Linked DNA regions of Bombyx mori. Each later gene encodes a partner of the first gene's protein in a complex. Links are inferred from orthologs where the notes say so. Each region holds a gene or a part of one and is shown in the gene's direction. Other genes may lie near its edges.

The links. The genes of interacting proteins can lie anywhere in the genome.
Region 2: the proteins of ubiquitin-conjugating enzyme E2 G2 (region 1) and lipid droplet-regulating VLDL assembly factor AUP1 are in contact, whole or in part, in a crystal structure (PDB 7LEW), measured with the Homo sapiens proteins. The link is inferred for Bombyx mori from reciprocal best matches to the Homo sapiens genes UBE2G2 and AUP1. Residues at the interface, in NP_003334.2 of Homo sapiens: Tyr13, Thr17, Pro20, Gly23, Ile24, Val25, Ala26, Gly27, Pro28, Met29, Asn30, Glu31, Glu38, Leu40, Met42, Glu45, Glu50, Phe51, Val53, Pro55, Lys156, Val159, Gln160, Ser162, Leu163, Leu165; in NP_853553.1 of Homo sapiens: Ser379, Arg382, Gln383, Leu386, Arg389, Lys390, Leu393, Tyr394, Tyr396, Ala397, Arg398, Arg400, Phe401, Thr402.

What each region holds. Positions count from the first base shown.
Region 1 is NC_085107.1:15,238,636-15,242,781, forward strand, and holds part of ubiquitin-conjugating enzyme E2 G2, read left to right. Parts: intron 1-2,510; coding exon 2,511-2,651; intron 2,652-2,773; coding exon 2,774-2,895; 3' UTR 2,896-4,146. UniProt on the Homo sapiens protein: Accepts ubiquitin from the E1 complex and catalyzes its covalent attachment to other proteins. In vitro catalyzes 'Lys-48'-linked polyubiquitination. Involved in endoplasmic reticulum-associated degradation (ERAD).
Region 2 is NC_085117.1:18,440,923-18,446,425, reverse strand, and holds the start of lipid droplet-regulating VLDL assembly factor AUP1, read left to right. Parts: upstream 1-2,172; 5' UTR 2,173-2,315; coding exon 2,316-2,353; intron 2,354-4,035; coding exon 4,036-4,202; intron 4,203-4,884; coding exon 4,885-4,997; intron 4,998-5,503. Other genes in the region: mucolipin-3, read right to left, coding at 1-1,245. UniProt on the Homo sapiens protein: Plays a role in the translocation of terminally misfolded proteins from the endoplasmic reticulum lumen to the cytoplasm and their degradation by the proteasome. Plays a role in lipid droplet formation. Induces lipid droplet clustering.

The sequences.
Region 1 (4,146 bases):
CAGAAAAAAATTACATATTATTATATGAATATGTAAATATAATAAAATTCAACACTACTTGGTTTTACCATTCACATTTTCTTTACAGGCTGTAAAATCATCCCTATTAAAGTATTTTTAATTTTAAAACCTCTAAAGTATAAAGGCAAAAAAAAGCCTTTGGGTTTTTTGTTATAATAGGTTATACCTTGCTCAAAGAATAAAGAAATATTTGGACATTTGTAATGCTTGCGTACATTATTAAAATGACTAATAAAGTATTCCATAATCCAGAATATAAGTAATTCATATAATAATAACTGATCAAATTTGACTTTGACTCACTGGTGCGGTAGTTAGCAGTCCTTACTGTTGCACCAAGGGTTGTGGGTTTGATTCCCACATCGGGCAAACATTCGTGTGATGGAGAGGTTTGTTTGTTCTTTTTCTGGGTGGTTATTATCTATATATGTATATATTTAAATGTACCTAAGTATTTATGTCAATTTCTGGTACCCATACCATGGGGAATCCTAATTTTGGGCCAGATGACTGTTCGTGATATATTCCCAGTTATATATTTATTTATTCCTCTGCAATGTAAGGTCTTCTGCATAGTATGAATGACCTGCCCTCTGTAACATCCTCTGAGACAAGTTTGACAAGGTTTTTGCTATCTGGACTCGCTAATCTCAAAATTTCAGTATCTGAATTGTCACAACTATAATGTGGTCTTAAATTGATTTTATAAGCATAGCACACTCCATGATTCTTTAAGTGACTTGCATTCTAGTGAAAGTATATTAGGCAAGTGACTATAAATTATGACCAGTGAAGATAAGTTGGTTGAAGGATTGACATTTTAAATTGAACAGAAAATTTATCCAGAATATATTTCTCAAAGCACCAAAATCATCCCAAGATTTTGTTACTGTTCTAGTTTCTATCAAGTAGTTTGAGGCAGACATACCTGTACACTTTTTTTATTGTTTTTTAATGCTCAGTAATATACGGTCTAAAATGGTGTTTCTGTATCAAGAATTGAAAGTAAAGCTAATTTTAATACTAACTTCTCTAGAACTCATGGTATGGAATAACATGTCCAAGAAAATTATAAATACTACCTATGTACATACTTATTCAAATATTTATAAAGAATATAATTAGATGTTTAAAAAAACAGCTTTAAAATTATTATTTAAAAGTCATTTCATCATTATATGCATAAATATATTGATAACATTGTTTATTTTTATTAAGGAGGTCACATGTTATCAATTAATAAAATTGCAATATTGCAACTATGTTTCAATAACAAAAATAAAACTATTAAATTAAAATAATATGTATTTGATAACCTATAAACAACCTTGTATTTAATTGCAATGACAATGCACATCTGATGGCATGAAAATGTATTTGCAGTTCAAAAATGAAATGATTACATTGCTCTTTTTCATAAATATAAAGTTAAATTTGGTATTAAAATTGGATTACTTTTTTACAATTAAGAGAGCAACTGACAAAAACTTACCATCTTTCGGAATAAATTGAAAGGCAAATGGTTTCATTATCAATAAACAATATTTTTTGAGATAATTGTCTTAGTTAAAATCCTATTACCTAGTATGTTTTTTTTAAATAAGGTTAGTAAAATATGTTTTTGACAAAATTCAATGTTAACATAACAACAATCATTAAGTAGGTAGGTAGGTACTCATAGTCTTACTCATGACGAGCTACATGGCCCTATGGAAAAACTTTTGTTCTCTAGAAATGTACTGTATGTTTCTGCATCTTTACTGAGAAGAATTTATATATTCTGCGATCTCATTTTTAATTGCATAATTCATTGCTCGAAAGATCACTGGGGAAGAGTTATAGCCATAAACCCATAGACGCAGCCCACTGAGTTTCTCGCCGGATCTTCTCAGCGGGTCGCGTTTCCGATCTGGTGGTAGATTCTGCGAAGCACGGTCCTTGCTAGGGCCAGTGCTAGCATCACACCGGTTTGAACCCTGTGAGCTCACCCATACGTTATGGCGAAACTGAAATAGCCTCTGTGTGCTTAGTTCTAGTTTATTAACGTTCTCAATAGCGTAAAAGTTAGCTCATATTTGCATGCAATGGGATCGTTTGCCTACGTTTTCCGCTAGGGGCGCTGTTCCAACTGCATTCAAAATTGGGTTAATTTTTACTGCACACTGAAGGCTATCAGCATAGGTAGGAGAAAAAAAGAAAGAAAAAAAGGCCATAAACCACCCACTGGTCCACTGTAGGTCTTCATTGTTCATTTGTGTGACAGGCTCTAGTACGAATGTCTATTCTCTATATTATGATGTTTCGCGAAATGTATCATGTGTATGAGGTGTGAAGTATTTTCTGTCTCAAGTAGTGTGTTGGCACTCCTTATTATTGCTGCCGCAAACGACGATGACCACGCATCATCAGAAAAATGGAAAATGCCGTCAGCCTACTAAGATTATAAACTTTAAAAAACATGAAATTAATTAAATTTATTCAATTTACAGTATATGCTGATGGTCGGGTATGCATATCAATCTTACATGCACCAGGTGATGATCCAATGGGCTACGAAACCAGTGCTGAAAGATGGTCACCTGTACAAAGTGTCGAAAAAATACTGCTCTCTGTTGTCAGCATGTTAGCAGGTGGGTTTTAAAATTTACAATTTGAATTCCAAAACAGCAATATATATTTTTTACCCCTAAATAAATTATTGTATCATTAATGTAGACAGAAGCTGAATTTGTTCAATAATAACATATTTCAGAACCCAACGACGAAAGTGGAGCCAATGTCGATGCTGCCAAAATGTGGAGAGAAGACAGAGAACAATTTAATAAAATAGCCGAAGAAATCGTAAGGAAAACTCTGGACCTGCCCCCTCCTTAATATTTTATTTCTTGATTATTTTATATCAATATCTAAATGAGATGCTAAGTAAATGCTGAAATGGATATCACGTTTAGGTACGGTATTTTATTATTCGCAAATTATATTTATAATGTTATATAATATATTCACTTTTAACAAACATTTTTATCAACTTTTATCTGCAAAGCTCATGCATAAAATATTAGAATGTTGCCAACTAGTTTTGGAAGCCTTATTAGACTTTGCTTGTTATATCAATTATATTGACTTAAGGAGCGTCAATTAACAAACCGATTGACCTCTGGTCATTTTATTTATCATGAAAGAGATATGAAACTTTTAACAGAAATAATGTTTTGTATTTATAAATGTTGAAGTTACAATTTGTTAAACTACAATAATTATATTCATATAAAGGTTTTTAACATTAAACTTTATGAGACCTGCTTAGCCAATCGAGGAAAGCATCACGGGCTTGGTACTGCAATGTAAAATTTACAGAACAAATTTCCTACTTAATTAATTCTAGTTTTGAGTAGCTGTGGTAGAGAGGGTTTTGAGAACCTATGAGTTGGTATCATAATCATATTTATAATGAAAAATGAAGCAATAATTTGTACATGGTTTGAAGATTTTTGGGTATGTATTTTATTATAATGTGATGGATTCTGACATTTGTGTTGTGTAGTAGTACAAGATGGTAATTTAACTAAAAAAAAAATAAAGTTCAAATATAGACATGGTTTTAATAGGCTATTTAGATTTTATTATTGCAATGTTGAGTAATATAATGAATCTTGTTAAAACATAAGAGTTATTTACAAATGTTTTAAAAGTTAAAGAATATGCCAATAATAAAGGGTTGTTAACAGATCGTTTCCGAAGCCGAAACGAGAATAAATAGCTAATCTAAAGTGAAAGTGTACTGTGAACTACCTAAGTAGAGCAATAAAAAACAAAGAGCTATGAATGTTATGGAAAAACTAACATAATACTAAATACTTCTTGTTTAAAAAAATATGAATTAATGTCCCAGTAATGTACCTAAATGTAAACAAGCAAATTATGATTATGTTCCTCACTCAACATTGTAGGTCCCATGAGTCACTTGATTTTATTATAACAGACCAAATGTAAATGAGTAAATAAATTCCTAAAATGGAATTAATATTTCAGGAGCGATTTCAAACAACCTGTATAATAATATTATGTCTATTTATATATATACTGAGATAAAGTGTGACATAATTGAATTAAAAAAAATGACAA
Region 2 (5,503 bases), on another chromosome or scaffold:
GTATCTTAGCACTCCAAACCAGACGAGCAGATTTCCTGTACCTAAAAACAGTGAACAAACATTCCACTGATCATTTGTGAATTGATTTCGTTCGATTTGTTCCTTAATAGCTGATCCCATGATGATCAGAAGGTCATTGATTATTATCATAATATACCAAATATTCAAGAACTCCAATCTTCCATCTAAGCTTAGGTCTCTGTCATATTGTCTTCTAAAGAATTGTACTGTTAATTCTTTTAGCAACTGTGCTCTGTAGAGTGCTCTGCTGCATAGCACAAACGAGGCTGCACAAATCAAAATAACTAAAATATTTAAAGTACTCCTGAGTATTTGGTCAATTTTATTATCCGTCACATAAGCTGTGTCGCCTTTACATTCTAGCTTGTGAGGTTCTGCTTCCAGAAACAAGGACATTTGTCCATCGTGATCTTCATTGTCAAATATTATTTCAACATCAAACCGGTAACAGTCTGGTGGAGTTATGGGACCGGCAGCCCTGAAGTTGATGGTTTTGATGGAAAACATTAATTTTGCTCTAACTAATGATGAGAAACTGATGTTCAATCCAGCATCTCTAATGTACGCTTCAGATTTGAAATCTTCATTATCTTTAATTGTGAAATTTATACAGGTCTCAAAGACTTCAGAGTTAAACTGGTAGCTCTCATTAAAGCCATAAATAATGCCTTGTTTATAGTTGTACTGGCAAAAGACAGGATCTGGCATAAAGTTATTTTCATCATTGTACGAATATGGGCCTATCGCATTAGATAAATTAGTATAACCGGCAACTGCATAGTCTAATGTATTGTAGAACTCATCGATTTTGTACAAAGCAAGTGGTCCTGCTCCCGGTGGATATGCGTTTATCTCACGTGTAGAGTCCCAGCCGAGTAAAAATAGATGCGAGAATGTGATTCTGTTATCCCATGTATAGTTCACGTGATTGTATCTGTTATGAGCGAATAAACATAGCTGAAAAGTCACAAGTACAATTTTGATTACCTGCACGACAAATTTGTAAGGAAATTTTCTCTTTGCTTTCCATTTCTCGATTGGATTCATAAAGAAAAACTGCAGTTTTCTACGCATTTTTTCTTCCATTTGAGTAGGCGGAGAGAACGAAGTCGATTGGTGAGGAAAATCTTGTTCATTGTTGGCATTCGGTCGAATTTCCTTTTTGTGATCGTCTTCGCCTTCAGAACAGGTAGTATCATCAGGGGCATGCATGATTTCATCCATGGATATAACTTCTAATATAATTTTCTAAAAAGACAAGGTCAATTTGTCACGAACGTTCGAACTTGTTTTTTTTACTATAATTAGAGTTTGAAACGCTACATGGAACTTAAGATTCGAATAATAGTAAAAATGAATTCGATTAATAATTAAAATAATGTTTCTGTTGTTCTTTGTTTACTTTCAAGGATTGAGTCCTCGATTTAAAATTGTCACTTGCACATTATACCAGAATGTCACGTGTTTTTTATTTATTAAATTGAATAAGCAAATGGTACCACGCAATAACTATTCTGTTATAAAAGGCGAAGTTGTTTTAGTTCCACAATAAGTAAAACTTAACAAAATTCACTGAAATAGAAATATAATGAAATGGGATGAACAAACTTCTCAGTTAAATGATGGGGTTCTCTTCTATCTATCAATATAAAAACATCGGCTTCTTGCGAGTTTAAGTGATAATCAGGTATTACTTTGCCGCTTTGTGAAGTAAACATTATAATAAAGTGAAATTAATTGAAGCTCATCAACAGGGTAAAAAAAAAATTGTTTCTTATCAATCGCAAAATATTGTATGTTATGTGTATGTATTAAAATATCGTAATTGTTGAGACTTCGGTAGATTTTTGGGAAGAACCCAGGAATCCCAGTCCAGTACTTTGTTCATGTACTCACCTTCACCTTCATGGACACTAAACGGTTTTTATATGTTTAAACTTGAATAAGCACAGAATTAACTAAACAAAACAATTCACAAAACTTCTGTATTCACTTTCATTCCAAAAACACTATTGCGGAGTAATTTCTACAGTAATATCACTTCCTTTTTCACCCAAACGGTTCGGTTTAATTTTGACAATTTTAAAAGACAGAACTGTATGGAATTATTTCCCTTTGTGTAACTAAATAAAACAAACCAACGGAATAATTTATGTTTGCCAAATGTCGAACGAAGAACACATCATTGCCTGTATGTATTACCTACTGTGATCATAAATTCATCGAGAATTTTATAAAAAATATATGGCAGACAGCGTAAATATTCAACAAAACATCTATCTACATATTCGGTGATGGCTCTTGCGGCAGAAAAGTTAATCAACAAAGAGAGGTACAATAATAATTTTAACAATATTTATTGTTACGTGATTTAGTTCGGGGAAAGTTGATGCCCACTCGACCCTATAAAATAAAACGTATAAAAATTACACATTTTCACATCTTAATTTTTTACAGTCTGATTGCAAATACATAAACAATTTCACAGCATTTCATTGAATAATGTATGTAAATAAACAATGTAATTGAGTATAAAAACAATATTTAGTCTATGAAAAATCTAATCACGAAATTATGTTGTTGCTTCAAATTCATAAACTTGAAAATCACTGCGACATTGAGACTTTAATTACAAATTCTTATACTTGAAAATCACTACGACATTGAGACTTTAATTACATGAAAAGTAAAAGTAGTATTTATTTTATTTACAAATATTACAAGACTAGATAACTATCATGGGATCTGGTATTTTAATTTCCTTGTAATTCAAAGTAAATATTTTTAAATCTCCACTCTACCTTTAGTACCCTAGATCTGCTGCTTTTTGGGTCTATTAGTTTTTTGATTTTACAGCTTCAATATGTATGTTAATGTGTAGGCTAAAATGTGAATGTTTTTCAAATACAAGTTATGGACATGGCAACAGATTAAGTAGGTACATTGAACAGTATTCATAATTAAAACCTTGAAAGATTCTCAGTCTCTCAGTCTCAGTTGTTTGAACTGTGAATTGGGAAAAAACAAATATTAAATCATATTTTCAACATTATCTAAACATAAAATAAATATAAATTTTCATTGAGTGATTAACTAATTGTATATGTAAATCTCTAGTTTCAGAGACATTGTTTTAAAGCACTTGACCTTACAATTGTGTTTCAAATACAATAGTATTGAGAAATCTATAATAAGTTTATAACATGCAATGAGGAAAGTCCTTGGGGACAAGTTTAAGGAAATTAAAATCTTAATTAAACTTAACCATACCAATATGAAAATTTTATGTGCCTTTTTTTATTGCCTTTGTAGAAAGACAATACAGCCCACCTGATGGTGAGTAGATGCCATTGCCTTTAGACTTCAACAATGCCAGGGGCAAAGCCAAACCGCTGCCTACATTGACAGATTGGGTTAGATTAGAACATCTAGCAAAGGCTAGTATCTGAAATCAAGAGAACAAGTAACTTTTTTATGTGTGCACATTTTCAATTAAATCCCAGAAATTAATGACTACTTCTTCAAAGATTTAACAAAATTTTTATAGAATGATTGTCAATAAGAGATTTTTACTAGATGGGTTTGTTTGGAAGTGAAGTTCTCTGTTACTCATCTGTTCTCTGTTACTACATTACTCATCATTTCCGCTCACCCCCCCTTTTCATTTACTATGTATTGTCATTCTGTTTATATTTCTTTTTTGTATTTTTATTGTCTTAGTAGGTAGATAAGCCCATCTGGTGGTGAGTGCTTACTACCACTCATGAACGTTAACAATGCCAGGGACATAGGAAAATCACACCCACTGAGTTTTTTTTGTCATATTTTAGTTTTCAGTAATATAGGTATCTTGCAACCAGTGGTAGAGGTTTGATTTTCAAATGTTCTGAATGAATGTCCAATATGATGATTTTTTAAATTTAGTACTGATATAGAATAGAATAGAATAGAATAGAATAGAATAGAATAGAAGATATATAAACTATAATGGTTATTGTTTTTGTTGCTTTTCAGATTCAATGGAGAAAATGCATTGCAATTTTTACTGTATTTACCAATTGGAGTTATTCTGATGGTGATCAGAATATTCCTGGGTGTGATATTATGGATTGCATCAATTATATTGCCCAACAAATGGGCAGTCAGTCACATGTTAACTACTTTGGCTTGTTGGACTTTTGGTAAGATTTTGAAAATTGATAAATGTGTTTAATGCCTGAGGATGATATGTGTTATTTGTCTGAATGAAAAGTGGGACATCCTGAATTTTTTTGTTGCCATGATGGGTGAACATTTGTGCGGTTCCCCATTGACATTACAACATATTATGGTATAACAGATAATTTAAAAGATCTATGGGAGGAGCTGGTTGGAACCACATATTTAATTACTACATTTTACTAAACTCAATTTCATACAAAAAATCAGTAGGGGTACCATATTTTCCTAAGTAACTTTCTCTGTTTGTCGATTGATTGTTAGTGCTAGGGTGGCAGCACTGATTTCAAACTACTGCACCATTCTATCTCTGCCACAAAGTAATCATCTAATAGGATTTGAAGTATTAGTAGTATTTAATGCTCACTACTAGTCACTATCATACAATACACACACTATGTCACACCTTATAATAGTTTTACTTTGGATTGCTTCATATCCTATCACTTGCATGCCTTAGTTAAACTTTCTAAGGTTTGTTTTTTGCTGGTGTATTATTGTTGTATTGCCTTCCCAGCTTCACTAAGGTTTTGGAATATAGTTGGACCTTCAAGAATGTTTCTCTGTTTCGATCTTTAAAATAAAATAAAATGTCATCTGAATTTATCAATTAAATTTAATGCTTTGAAAATATATATGTTTCAGGTGTCTATGTGAAGCTCAAAGGACAAAGAGACCCAAGATGTAGTGTGTTGGTTGCTAACTATGTGACATGTTTCGATTCTCTTGCAGCTGCACATGTCTTTGGTACCATAAGTGTCAGTATTAAATTATTACTTTTGATTCTAATTACACAATCAACTTAAATAATAATTTATTGCATAGACAGGTTAATGAGCTCAATTCCCACCCAGAGTTAAGCGGTAACTGGAACAGTCCATCTGTCATCTTGGGAAATGGAAGTGATATTTATCATATAACAGCTGTTCAAACCTTCCTCACCGTGATGCTGATAAAACTATATGCACTTTATTACAGAATTTCCTTTGATTACCTACATTGTGGATGATAAAATGTTATCTGTCTATGGAATACTAATACAGTTGTATCACCCGATACAAGTTCTCTAGGCATCTTGTATTCTAAGCCACAGCTTCAGTATTTTTAATTCGCCATCATATAAAATTCTACATTTGCATTTGTGCAGCGAAGTATATTATAGAGTTGGTTACTTACTAGATGTTGCACTTTGATGTGACATATTAATTGTAGATCATTACAGTGTACGGGTGATCTTTTTTTTGTATTCCAACATTGGCAGGTC